Xenopus tropicalis: one gene and its partners. The protein of the gene in region 2 interacts with the protein of the main gene of each other region in a pairwise test. Links are inferred from orthologs where the notes say so. Each region holds a gene or a part of one and is shown on either strand. Other genes may lie near its edges. The genes, in order: ezr, erbb2 and fgfr4.

Region 1 (3,655 bases), on a different chromosome or scaffold from region 2:
GATCATGCTTTATACAGCGCTGCGGAATATGTTGGCACTTTATAAATAAATGTTAATAATAATAATAATAATCATATAAGGGGTCATTTATGCAACTCCAGGGCGCAAGTGCTAGAGCACACCATTTGGTGCTACTTTAAAAAACAGTTGTTTTGCAGGAAAAGCTGTGCTCTGCTTTTGTGCCTGATTGAAAATCCTTGCGTGGAGCAGAGGAACAAAAAAGATTGTGTAGAAACTAATGAATATTTAGCAATGTTGCAAAGAAACTGGTGTTGCTAGTATACTGTGTTCTGTATGTATATTTATTTATGTTCTGTCATAATTCTACAAACAACTCATGCAGTTCAATGAGTTTTGACACCTACAGTGAACTGTATCATTTTTCATTACTCCCAACAAAAAAAACAAAATTGAAAAAGACACACAATGATCTGCCATATATCCAATTTTAAACATGCCTACTGTGTGACCACACCTCCAAATACCAGGTCAACTTTGAAAATACACATGGCAGCATTAGACAAAGAACATGACAGCATTAGACAAAAAAAAAAAATGAATTGTACTTTTTGTTGAATATTGGGAGTGGAAGGCTGTCTCTCCCCCACATTGTCTCACTCAGAGTATACCCAAGCTGCTCTCCCTTGCCAGCTCAACTAACCCATATTGGTTTGGTTGTGTAATGCACAAGAGGTCCATAAAGCAGTAGGGCAATTTTTCACACTTTCAGCACTACTTTTTAAGTAGCTCAACAACATAGTGCTAAGGTGGACAACAGCAATCTCACTGATTTGCATATAAATTAATAAATACCTGGGTGCTGGGCAGCAGAGGTTTGTACTGCACTTGAGTGAAAGGAGATTTTGGGTTATTTTATTTTCACAACAGAAGATTTATTTGCAAATGCCCTGGAGACTGTGGTGTTTCAGTCACCTACACAGAATGCTGCCACTAGAGACTGAAGTGTGCCAGTTACTCACACAGGGTGCCACCACTGGAGACTGAGGTGTGTGACTTACCTACACTGAATGCCACTAACACTATAACTATAGGCAGTAGACCTACTATCTAACTGCACTTATGCATGCTTCCTCTTTAAGGACTGAGAATGTTCCTGTGTATGCATGCTGCTTTCCTGCAGCAATTTTACCATTTAAAAAACCATATAGATTAAACCCAACGCATTTTGGCCCTTACAGCATAAACCTTCATCAGGGTCATACAAATAGAAAAAGTTCATGCTTGTACCTGAGCAGTGCCCTTTTGGATTAGTTCCTTACAGTTTTTTTTATCCACATTCCCTCACACAGATGCAATTCTCTATCTAATCCCACTACACAGGCACATGAGAGCATGCCTCCCAGCACTCGGCTCAGCCCCTAAGATGGTCAGTAAATAGGGTTAATGCATTGTGCCAGGAGGAATATAAACTGCTCTGTCTGATGAGGACAAAGCAGCATTTTAAATCTGCCTGAGTATGGCCAGTTTAGCTTCATGCAGGAAGTGGCAAGAATAGGTTCCAGAAGATATCAGTGATCTCTGTGACAGAATGCTTTGTTGTGAAAATGATGATTGGGGTTTTTTTAATAAAGTTTTGAGAGAGCATAATTAATTAATGTGTCAAATGGTGAGTTTTACCTTTAAGTTGTCGATAGTGGGAGATGTAAGCTTCAAGGGAGATGTTGCTAAACAGAGAACATTTTCATTGTTTAAAGGATTTTGCTGCCTGGTCCTGGAAGCTATAGTGTTCTGGAAAGAATCAGGCAGGCCAGATAATCCATTCCAGTAGTCCAGCTCATAAACTGGAGCTCACTTTCAACAGGAAGGCTCCTGTGGAAAGGTATTTAATTGTAGTGAGAATGTTAGAAAGGTCTCTCTGAACAGGGCACAGAGCCTGTGTTGGGACCTCCCAGAGGGGCTGTGGGTGCTGCCACGTCAAGGAGCACAAGGAGCCTTTGATGAAGGGACTGAGAGTCTGAGTCACTGTGAAATTGATGAAAAACAAGAGGCTGAGCAATCCTCCCAAAGGAGTATAGTGAGTACAGAAGTGACCCCAAATATATGTGTTTTCTTACTGGTAGTCCGCAAGGGGTTCAATTTATTTAGAGAGCTCAACAAATGTGCTGAAATGGTCACTTCTGTGTTTTAAATAAACTCCCTTAATTTGAAGAAAGCGTATGTTGTGGTTCTCACAAGCTTACAAAGAAAGAAACATGTTTAGTTTCATAGAAAGTGTAAAAAACTTACCCTCATTTGCCACTCGCTTGCTTCATCTTCTTTGACTCTCCTGGCCTCCTCCAGCAGTGAGATTCTAGCAGTATATTCTGATAGTTCAGAAGCCTAATTAGAGTATAGATATATATGAAAAGTGCATTATGTACATATAATATAGTCATGGTTAGGGATATACTGTACATACAAAAAGTGTACCAAAAAATAAAAAAAATATTTTTAATGAATACAAATAACTTGGCAGAGAAACTTAAACATGCCTTATGTATATATTTAAATATAATGCAAAGTAGAGAGTGGCAGGTTAAAATAATGCCTGACAGGGTTCTATGGTTCCCCTTTCCAACCCCTGCTTCCTATACCTTGGTCCCCAGATGTTTCTGGCCTACAACTGGAGAATTCTGGGAACTGTAGTCCAGCATCTGGGGACCCAACTCCATTCAGAAGCCAAAAAGTCAAGCTTCTCACTCATTTATTAAGTGTATGTAGATTTGGCATATTCATTAAGAGTTTCCAAAAAAAACATGGAAGTAAGAAAGAACTAATGCTCTGTCCCAGAAAAAAGTATCATACCAGTTGTTCTTGGCTTTTTGTCTGGGCAATTGCTTGTCTCTCCAGTTCTTCCTTGGCACGGAGAGCAGAAATACGTTCTGCTTCTAATCTCTCTGCCTCATACTGTGCCCGTCTTCTCTCTTCCTCCAATTCCTTGGCTCTTTGGATCTGCTCTGATAGTTCTGCAAACACAGATCAAAATATTGTCTTTTTAACGGTGATATCAAACCAATAAATGTATGAGACTCCCTTGGTAACTGAAAATGAAGAAAATATAGTAGCAAAGAAAGTAGCAGTTAAACATTTATAATTCCTGCATCATACTTTGATGAGTTTTTATTAGATGAATATATTCTCACTGTCTTTTAAGTGTTATCCTTAATATATATCCTTAGTGTATATATAATTCTACATTCATCACAGTAAAACTGACAGCTCTATAACCATTTAAAAGGTGACATTTTTCAATTGTAGAATTATAATTTTTTTTTTGTTTTATTCAGGATAGAAATACAAAGTGAAAGACCTGCCTCCCCATCAACAAAAGACCACCTGTCTGGAACCTGTCTGGAACCATGCCATGAAACATGCCCTTGGACATCAACTTCCAACACCTCCGATATCTTGATGGCACTGCCATAACAAGGCAATGCAATCTTGACTGTATATCTACTTGCTGCGGTAATCTGTCTGTTATGTTTAGTTTTCTTTTCAATAAAATTTAAGTTACAAATAAAAGAAATACAAAGTAAACCAAGTCAAGCAAAAAAAAAAAAATTACATTTCTAGTATAACAATCCCTAATTAATTAATCCTTAATTAATCCTTTCCCTGCCAACTATTGTACATAAATTCTACTCATGATGTAGAG
Region 2 (3,655 bases):
CCAGTTGATCTTCTGAAGACTCTGAGATGTCTAAACCCAGTCTAAACCTCATTTAGCTATGCTTAGAAAAGAGTTGAGCACTAGGGTGGTTAAACAATATGTTTCCATTTGGTAAACCCTATCCCGTGGCTGTCTTTCCCATTTTTAGGGTATTTGGATTCCAGATGGTGAAAACATCAAAATCCCAGTTGCCATCAAAGTTTTGAGGGAGAACACGTCACCTAAAGCCAACAAAGAGATCCTTGATGTAAGTATCAGTTTAACACATCAGTATCTGCAAACTGCTATGCAAGTTTACACTACTGTCTGTTCTGGAGCACGGAGACCAGCATCGCTGGAAGAAGATACACGGAGCTACTTAGTAGCAGCTACTTGTTACGGCTACTAGACACCACAAAATCCCCTGCCATAGACAATACTGAGAATTGCCTCTGCTAAACACACATAGAGACAGTTATCAGTAAATGATCAGCATTGTCTATTTTAGTAGCCACAACAAGTAGCTGCAACTAGTAGCTCCGTGTGTCTCCACCCTTAAGAATACAGCACGGCCAAGGCAAGCAGGCAACACTATATTCATATGGGTAAAGACACACGGAGCTACTAGTAGCAGCTATTTGTCACAGCTACTTAAACACAATGCTGATCATTTACTGATAATTGTCACTACATGCATTTTTGCAGAGGCAATTCTCAGTCTTGTCTATGGCAGGGGATTTTCTACCATAGATCAGCCATCTTTTTCTTTCTTTCCACCTGTGTATTTAATATTATTTAGTTGTATACACGCAGTTTTATGTGAAATTCCTATTTTTTAGTAATGTTTAAATTAGTAATAAATGTGTAAGAATATCAGTAACTCTGGTTTTGTGCAGGAAGCCTATGTGATGGCAGGGGTGGGCAGCCCTTACGTTTGTCGGCTGCTAGGGATCTGCCTTACATCCACCGTACAGCTTGTCACCCAACTCATGCCGTACGGCTGCTTACTGGACTATGTGAGGGAGAACAAAGACCGCATTGCTTCCAGAGATCTCCTCAACTGGTGTGTGCAGATAGCAAAGGTAAGAAGAGCTAAACCCCTCATAGGCAAAAGCCCCCACAGACTGCCCTCCATTGATCCCCTTCCCTGCAGAGTCTATTGAGGTGCCCATACATGGGCCGATTCTAGCTGCAGATATTGGTCCCTTACACCGATTCGGCAGCTAATCGGCCCGTGTAGGGGCACTACCGACGGGCCTGCCTGACCGATATCTGGCCTGAAATCAGCCAGATCTTGATCGGGCAGGTTAGAAAATCTAGTCGGATCGGGCACTTTGTCTATACCCGTTGTTATAATTCGACCGTTTGGCCCCAGGGCCAAATGATCAAATTAACTTGGATTCTCCTGATATCGCTCACCCGTAGGTGGGGATATCGGGAAAAGATCCGCTCGCTTGGCGATGAAGGTGCATGGCCACCTTTAGATGCAAAATTGTCCCTGTCGTGAAAGCTGACCTATAGCAGAGTAGCACAAATTACTTCCCAGTCTATCCAATTAACTCTGCAGGGAGGGAGCAGGGAAGGGGGGCTAGTTGGGGGCAGGATGTGCAGGAATTCATGGAGACTTTGGATTTTTGCGCGCAACATTGGTCATGCACCACTGTTGATAGAATCAATAGCGCTGAGTGTGCGTGTCTGGGTTACAGGGAGTAAAGAACACACTGGGGCTCATTTATAAACACAGGCAGATTTGCACGTGGGCAGTAATGACCAATCAGTGATTGGCTTTTTTTAGCCAGCTGCAGGTTAAATAGTTAATGCAAACACTTAATTGGTTGCCGTGGGTTACTGCCCAGATGCAAAATTGCCCAGTGTTTATAAATGAGCCCCACTGACATAATTAGTAAGAGGGATCTGGGTGTCGGGGGGTACAGAATCTGAACTGTAAGTAAAGGAACAGACTGACAAAATCATAGTAGTGAGTTTGAGTGTTACATTGGGTAAAAAAATAACAGAATCGGTATAAGTTAGTCTATCAAAAAAGTTTAGAGTTTAATACGTAAAAACTCAGTTTCTATTCATTGCTATTGGATTTTTAGAAGTGTATTTATCAGTGGGTGAAAGTTTATGTTCATCATTCGATAAATACACTGCTAAAAACCCCACAGAAATAAATAGAATGTGGGTGAATTTTTATGTATTGGGCTCTAAATTCACATTTTAATAAATCTGCCCCTAAATGTCACGTTACACAGCTGTGGGTAATATACATGTTTGTCGCAGGGGATGACCTACCTGGAGGATGTGCGCTTGGTGCACAGAGACCTAGCTGCACGCAATGTACTGGTGAAGAGCCCGTCACATGTGAAAATCACAGACTTTGGCCTGGCCCGACTATTGGATGTGGATGAGACTGAGTACCACGCTGATGGTGGAAAGGTAAGAGCCATCAAAAATTGTAGCAACAAAGGTTTTAAAGGATAAATAAGCTAAATAAAGATACATATGAAGTAGTAGAGTAAGTTGTCAGGAGAAAGAGAGGTCTGGGCTGCTGTTCCTCTGGTCAGGAAAGACATTGGAAACCTCCGATTACTTTCCTTACATCTTTCCTAACAAGAAGAACATCTTTCTTTCTGCTGACAACGTCTTTAACTACTTCATGGTCAGAAACCGACCAGCAGGTGGAGCTGTTGTGAAAAAAATTAATTCATATTGACAGTACAGGTATGGGACTCATTATCCGGAATGCTTGGGACTTGGGGTTTTCCAGATAAGGGATCTTTCCATAATTTGGATCTCAATACCTTAAGTGTACTAAAAGATTATTTAAACATTAGATAAACCCAATAGGATTGTTTTGCTTCCAATAAGGATTAATTATATCTTAGTTGGGATCAAGGACAAGGTACTGTTTTATTATTACAGAGAAAAGGGAATCATTTAACCATTAAATAAACCCAATAGGGCTGTTCTGCCCCCAATAAGGGGTAATTATATCTTAGTTGGGATCAAGTACAGGTACTGTTTTATTATTACAGAGAAAAGAGAATCATTTAACCATGAAATAAACCCAATAGGGCTGTTCTGCCCCCAATAAGGGGTAATTATATCTTAGTTGGGATCAAGTACAGGTACTGTTTTATTATTACAGAGAAAAGGGAATCATTTAACCATTAAATAAACCCAATAGGGCTGTTCTGCCCCCAATAAGGGGTAATTATATCTTAGTTGGGATCAAGTACAGGTACTGTTTTATTATTACAAAGCAAAAGGAAATCATTTTTAAAAATTAGAATTATTTGCTTATAATGGAGTCTATGAGAGATCGCCTTCCTGTAATTTGGAACTTTCTGGATAATGAGTTTCCGGATAAGGGACCCCATACCTGTACTTTAATCTTGGAAGTAAAAAAAGAAATAAATAATGAATGTGAATCACAAAAGTGCAAGGTTTACTTATCCTTGATAAAGCCTATCACATGATGAGAGCAGATTTGCCAATAGCCATTTGAGGCACCACATGACAGCCCCTTTGTAGATCATAAAGGTGGTAGCTTGGTTTCCAAATATTAAAGATAATTTTTTCTCTGTCCCACTCTTTCCCTCACTCAGGTCCCCATCAAATGGATGGCTTTAGAGTCCATTTTGCATAGAAGATTCACCCACCAGAGTGATGT
Region 3 (3,754 bases), on a different chromosome or scaffold from region 2:
CAGTTGCTTTAGTCAAGAGGAAAATCCATACCCAACATGTTGTGTTTAGCAAATCTACATTGTATAGATATTACAGTTTAAGCATTGCCCTGTACTGTTGCATATACGATACACTAATTGCAATAACATTGACCTATGTGTGCACAACTACTCCAAATGCAGCTTTTTAATAACAGGAAAAAAAAGAAAAAATACATATATGTTATGGAAGTTACCTTTCCAGTTGGCCTCATCTTCGGATAATGCTGGCCTGCATGAGCTTAACGTGGCAACGAACAGAACACCCAACAGCAACCTGGCAAAGTTCTGCATGGCATAAAAGCTTCTTTTTACGGATCCAGACATGACTGGCACGTGTGGGCAAACTGAAGAAGAATGAAGAAGCCAGGGACCAGAGTTAAATTACATCTTAGAGGCTCTCATTCAACATGAGTCAAAATATTTAAGACCCACTATAAGGTGTGAATCCCTTTATTAAATTAATTTAGCTGTCACCCAAACATACACAGCAAGATGGAGCATTGAACCCAAGGTAATAAGCTATAGATAACTGCTTATATTTTACATGCATAAACAAGAATGACCTTCATCCCTATAATGACGTGTATATGAAGCCACTGACAGTGATAGCAAGAATGATGAAACTTAAAGCACGCATGTGGGACAAACACAGTTAAACTGTCCTGTTCTGTTCCCCTGGGAAAACATGAGTAGGCACCCCCAAAACAAATATCACTTACAGTCAATGTTATCATTAACTTTTCGAGACTTACAACTTCTCCACATATTTAGACCATTATAATGATTTCAATGCACATCAGGGCTGTACCAAACCCCAGAACAAACAGGGGCTAAAGGATAATAGGGATAAATCCCCTCCACCCCCTTTCTCATGCCTGCATACACATTCCAGGAGATATCAATGTGTAACTAGCTGCAGGGACCCTGGGTTCCAGTTTAATCTTTGAACACAGTGCAACAAAAGCCTTTGTGTGCCAAGGCTACTCTGGTTATAGATTTACAGAATAGTTTTGGTGCTAGAGCAAGAGTTTACACAGAGCACTTCTGCAATCACAGAAGATAAGAGAGTAGTCAATAGAAATACAGAGAGATGGCTAAACCAGAAGATAATTGACTAATGGAAGATTCCTCAGACATCTCTTGGAAACAGTTGCACCTTATCAGGAACTTCCCCCATCTCTCTTCAGAAGATGAAAATGGATCACAATTTGTAGCAATGTATGCCACTCCTGCCAAGGGATAACTACATTAATACAAGGGGTGGGGATTTGGTCATGGTTATCATTTTCTTAAAATAAATGGAGACTTGCTATCTTAGTACTGTATCAGCAAAAATGAAATATCTTGATAACCCGGTGAAAAGTGCATTATAATTTTTACAGTGTGCCTGATTAATTTGTGCGGTGCTATACAGTAAGAATATAGTACAGATCAATACAGACCAGTATATGAACTATTAATCACGCACTGTGCAACAAGTCACTCCTAGTTGCATCTACACACTGCATTGTTATGACTCGACTGTCACCTTGCAAAGTCAGTTAACAAAATCTACTTTATTCTTCGGGAACAAAGTACATGAAATATTTTGTTCTCACCATATGAATAAAAATGATAGAACTACCCATCTAAAGGCGGCATGGGTTTGCAGCTTTCGATGTGTTATGGGAATACAACTCCCAGCATGCTAGCTGGGCACCACTAAAGTCAAAACACATAAACCACAAGCTAAATCTATTCAACCAATGTATATAAGACTGAAACAAAGTCCCTGGGCACCTTAAGTTGTTTACTTAGCAATCTCCAAACTGTGATTAAGCTTTAGCTACAAATCTAAGTCCACAGGGAAAAAAACTGAGCCCCAATACCCCAGATCAGGCACAATATAATAGACCAGGCAGTGTGTGAGATGCTTGGAGCTTGGGGCTCCACAGAGAGCCAATAAATCACCAATTCCACCCAGTGACATTTATATTGCCCCTCCATTAAATCCGAGCCACACAAAGGGGACTTCACACAAACACAAAAAAGCTCTGCACAAAAGCAGCTTCGGGTAAAACACAAATCAAAATGCAAGAGCAGCTCCAATGAATGGGACCTTCATTCAATACGAGAGGCTAGAAAGTGGCGGCCCCCCAGCTGTTGTTCAATTACAATTCCTATACCGGGGGTGCTGGGAGAGCAGGGGGTGCCCAGCTAGTTGGCCATGCTGCTGGCACTGGGTGCCCATGGGTGGGGGGGGGGGAGCAATAACAACACCGCTACACACGTGTGACCCCCAGCGCTTTCCATACAGGCACTGCTTAGCCCTTACTATAATAACCATAGAATATGTGTATGTATCAGATCCCACCAACAGTAGGAGCCTTGCCCAGTGCCTATAGTAAGGTATAGTAACGTGTAACCCAGCCGCACAGCCCCACGCCCCCTCCATACTGTACCTGCGACAGATCTCCGGGCTGCAGTGAGAGGGTTACTGGGGCTCCCCATTCATAAGAAGTCCGCGATCGGCTCCGTTCCCCGACGGCACTAATAATCCCCAAAGCGCCGAACCAAAGGCAAATATTCCAACAAAAAGCGCAGCTGCGCCAAAGCCTTTTCTTCAGTCACTCAGCATCCTTAGCCCCAAATATTAATCCACACAGGGGATCCAGACTCGCCCACGATAGCCCGCTCCCGCGAAACACTAGCCCAGCGTGGCTCCTGTGCAACTTGCCATCTAGGACGGTGCGGCTCGGTCCCAGCCAGTAGGAAGTTTGAGACCATGGACGGTGCTACCGCCGAGCTGCCCAGTGCATAGGGTACGATATCCCTGCTGGCTCCCTCTCACACTCAGGCACTGGCACAAGTTACTCAGGTTACACTCAATAGGCGATCTCTTCTCCCCCTCCCTTGAACAATGGACTATAAAGGGTGCAATGCTACAGGGAATCCCACCAGTAACACCGCCCCCAGGCTCTGCTCCCCCTCCCTCTGGGCTGTTTCTCTCCCCTCCCCCCCACCTACTCACCCTTTCACACTCAAATTAGCTAACTTCTCCCCCAGCTTTGTGTTGCAGGATTAAACTGCCTCCCTGCGCTGCCCAGCTCTGCCCTTTCTCATTCCCAGCAGGGATTCCTCCCTTTGCTTTGGATTCTCTTCTGCCTAATGATGTTATTTAGGGATGGCCAACCTGTGGCTCTATAGCTATTGCTAAACTTTAATTCTCAGTAAGTAGAAGCCCGAGCAGCCATAGGATGAAACTTTTGAACATTCCATGGTCAATATTTATGGCCAACGAGAATTCAATAATAATCTTATCCAGGGCCCTCAGATCTTATCTATGTTCTGTAACTGTGTTTCTCAAATTGTTTAATCACTGTTACAAATTATTGTAAATGTCAGTGTCGCTGGCTGGTACTACGTAACTACAATAATCCTAATCCACAAACTGATCACTGCGATATATACAAAAGTTGCCCTTACAATAGATCTTAATTCTAACCTCTTGGCTAGAGAATGCAGCCTGACACCCTATGTCACAAAGTGTGATTCTGACAGATGCAACATTATTCTGGCTTGATCCAATCAGTGTAAATTAGCCCTTATTTAGCTGGGCAGACTTACATCCTTCAGACTTAATATAGCCTTAAATTTGATTTAGGGCTGTCAGTCACAATTCTGAGTACTGCATTAGGGGCCATAAACCAATCACAATAAAGTTCTAAGATCACAGCCAAAGCAAATAGGGGTT

What was found.
Region 1: the proteins of erbb2 (region 2) and ezr interact in a protein complementation assay, tested with the Homo sapiens proteins (2 studies listed by BioGRID and IntAct, with this or other methods). The link is inferred for Xenopus tropicalis from reciprocal best matches to the Homo sapiens genes ERBB2 and EZR.
Region 3: the proteins of erbb2 (region 2) and fgfr4 interact in a protein complementation assay, tested with the Homo sapiens proteins (2 studies listed by BioGRID, with this or other methods). The link is inferred for Xenopus tropicalis from reciprocal best matches to the Homo sapiens genes ERBB2 and FGFR4.

Annotation. Positions count from the first base shown.
Region 1 is NC_030681.2:64,210,891-64,214,545, forward strand, and holds part of ezr (ezrin), read right to left. Parts: intron 2,967-3,655; coding exon 2,806-2,966; intron 2,341-2,805; coding exon 2,248-2,340; intron 1-2,247. UniProt on the Homo sapiens protein: Probably involved in connections of major cytoskeletal structures to the plasma membrane. In epithelial cells, required for the formation of microvilli and membrane ruffles on the apical pole. Along with PLEKHG6, required for normal macropinocytosis.
Region 2 is NC_030686.2:9,811,932-9,815,586, reverse strand, and holds part of erbb2 (receptor tyrosine-protein kinase erbB-2), read left to right. Parts: intron 1-148; coding exon 149-247; intron 248-875; coding exon 876-1,061; intron 1,062-2,262; coding exon 2,263-2,418; intron 2,419-3,590; coding exon 3,591-3,655. UniProt on the Homo sapiens protein: Protein tyrosine kinase that is part of several cell surface receptor complexes, but that apparently needs a coreceptor for ligand binding. Essential component of a neuregulin-receptor complex, although neuregulins do not interact with it alone.
Region 3 is NC_030679.2:46,330,212-46,333,965, forward strand, and holds the start of fgfr4 (fibroblast growth factor receptor 4 precursor), read right to left. Parts: upstream 2,830-3,754; 5' UTR 2,512-2,829; coding exon of another isoform or gene 2,463-2,511; intron 366-2,462; coding exon of another isoform or gene 346-365; coding exon 216-345; intron 1-215. UniProt on the Homo sapiens protein: Tyrosine-protein kinase that acts as a cell-surface receptor for fibroblast growth factors and plays a role in the regulation of cell proliferation, differentiation and migration, and in regulation of lipid metabolism, bile acid biosynthesis, glucose uptake, vitamin D metabolism and phosphate homeostasis.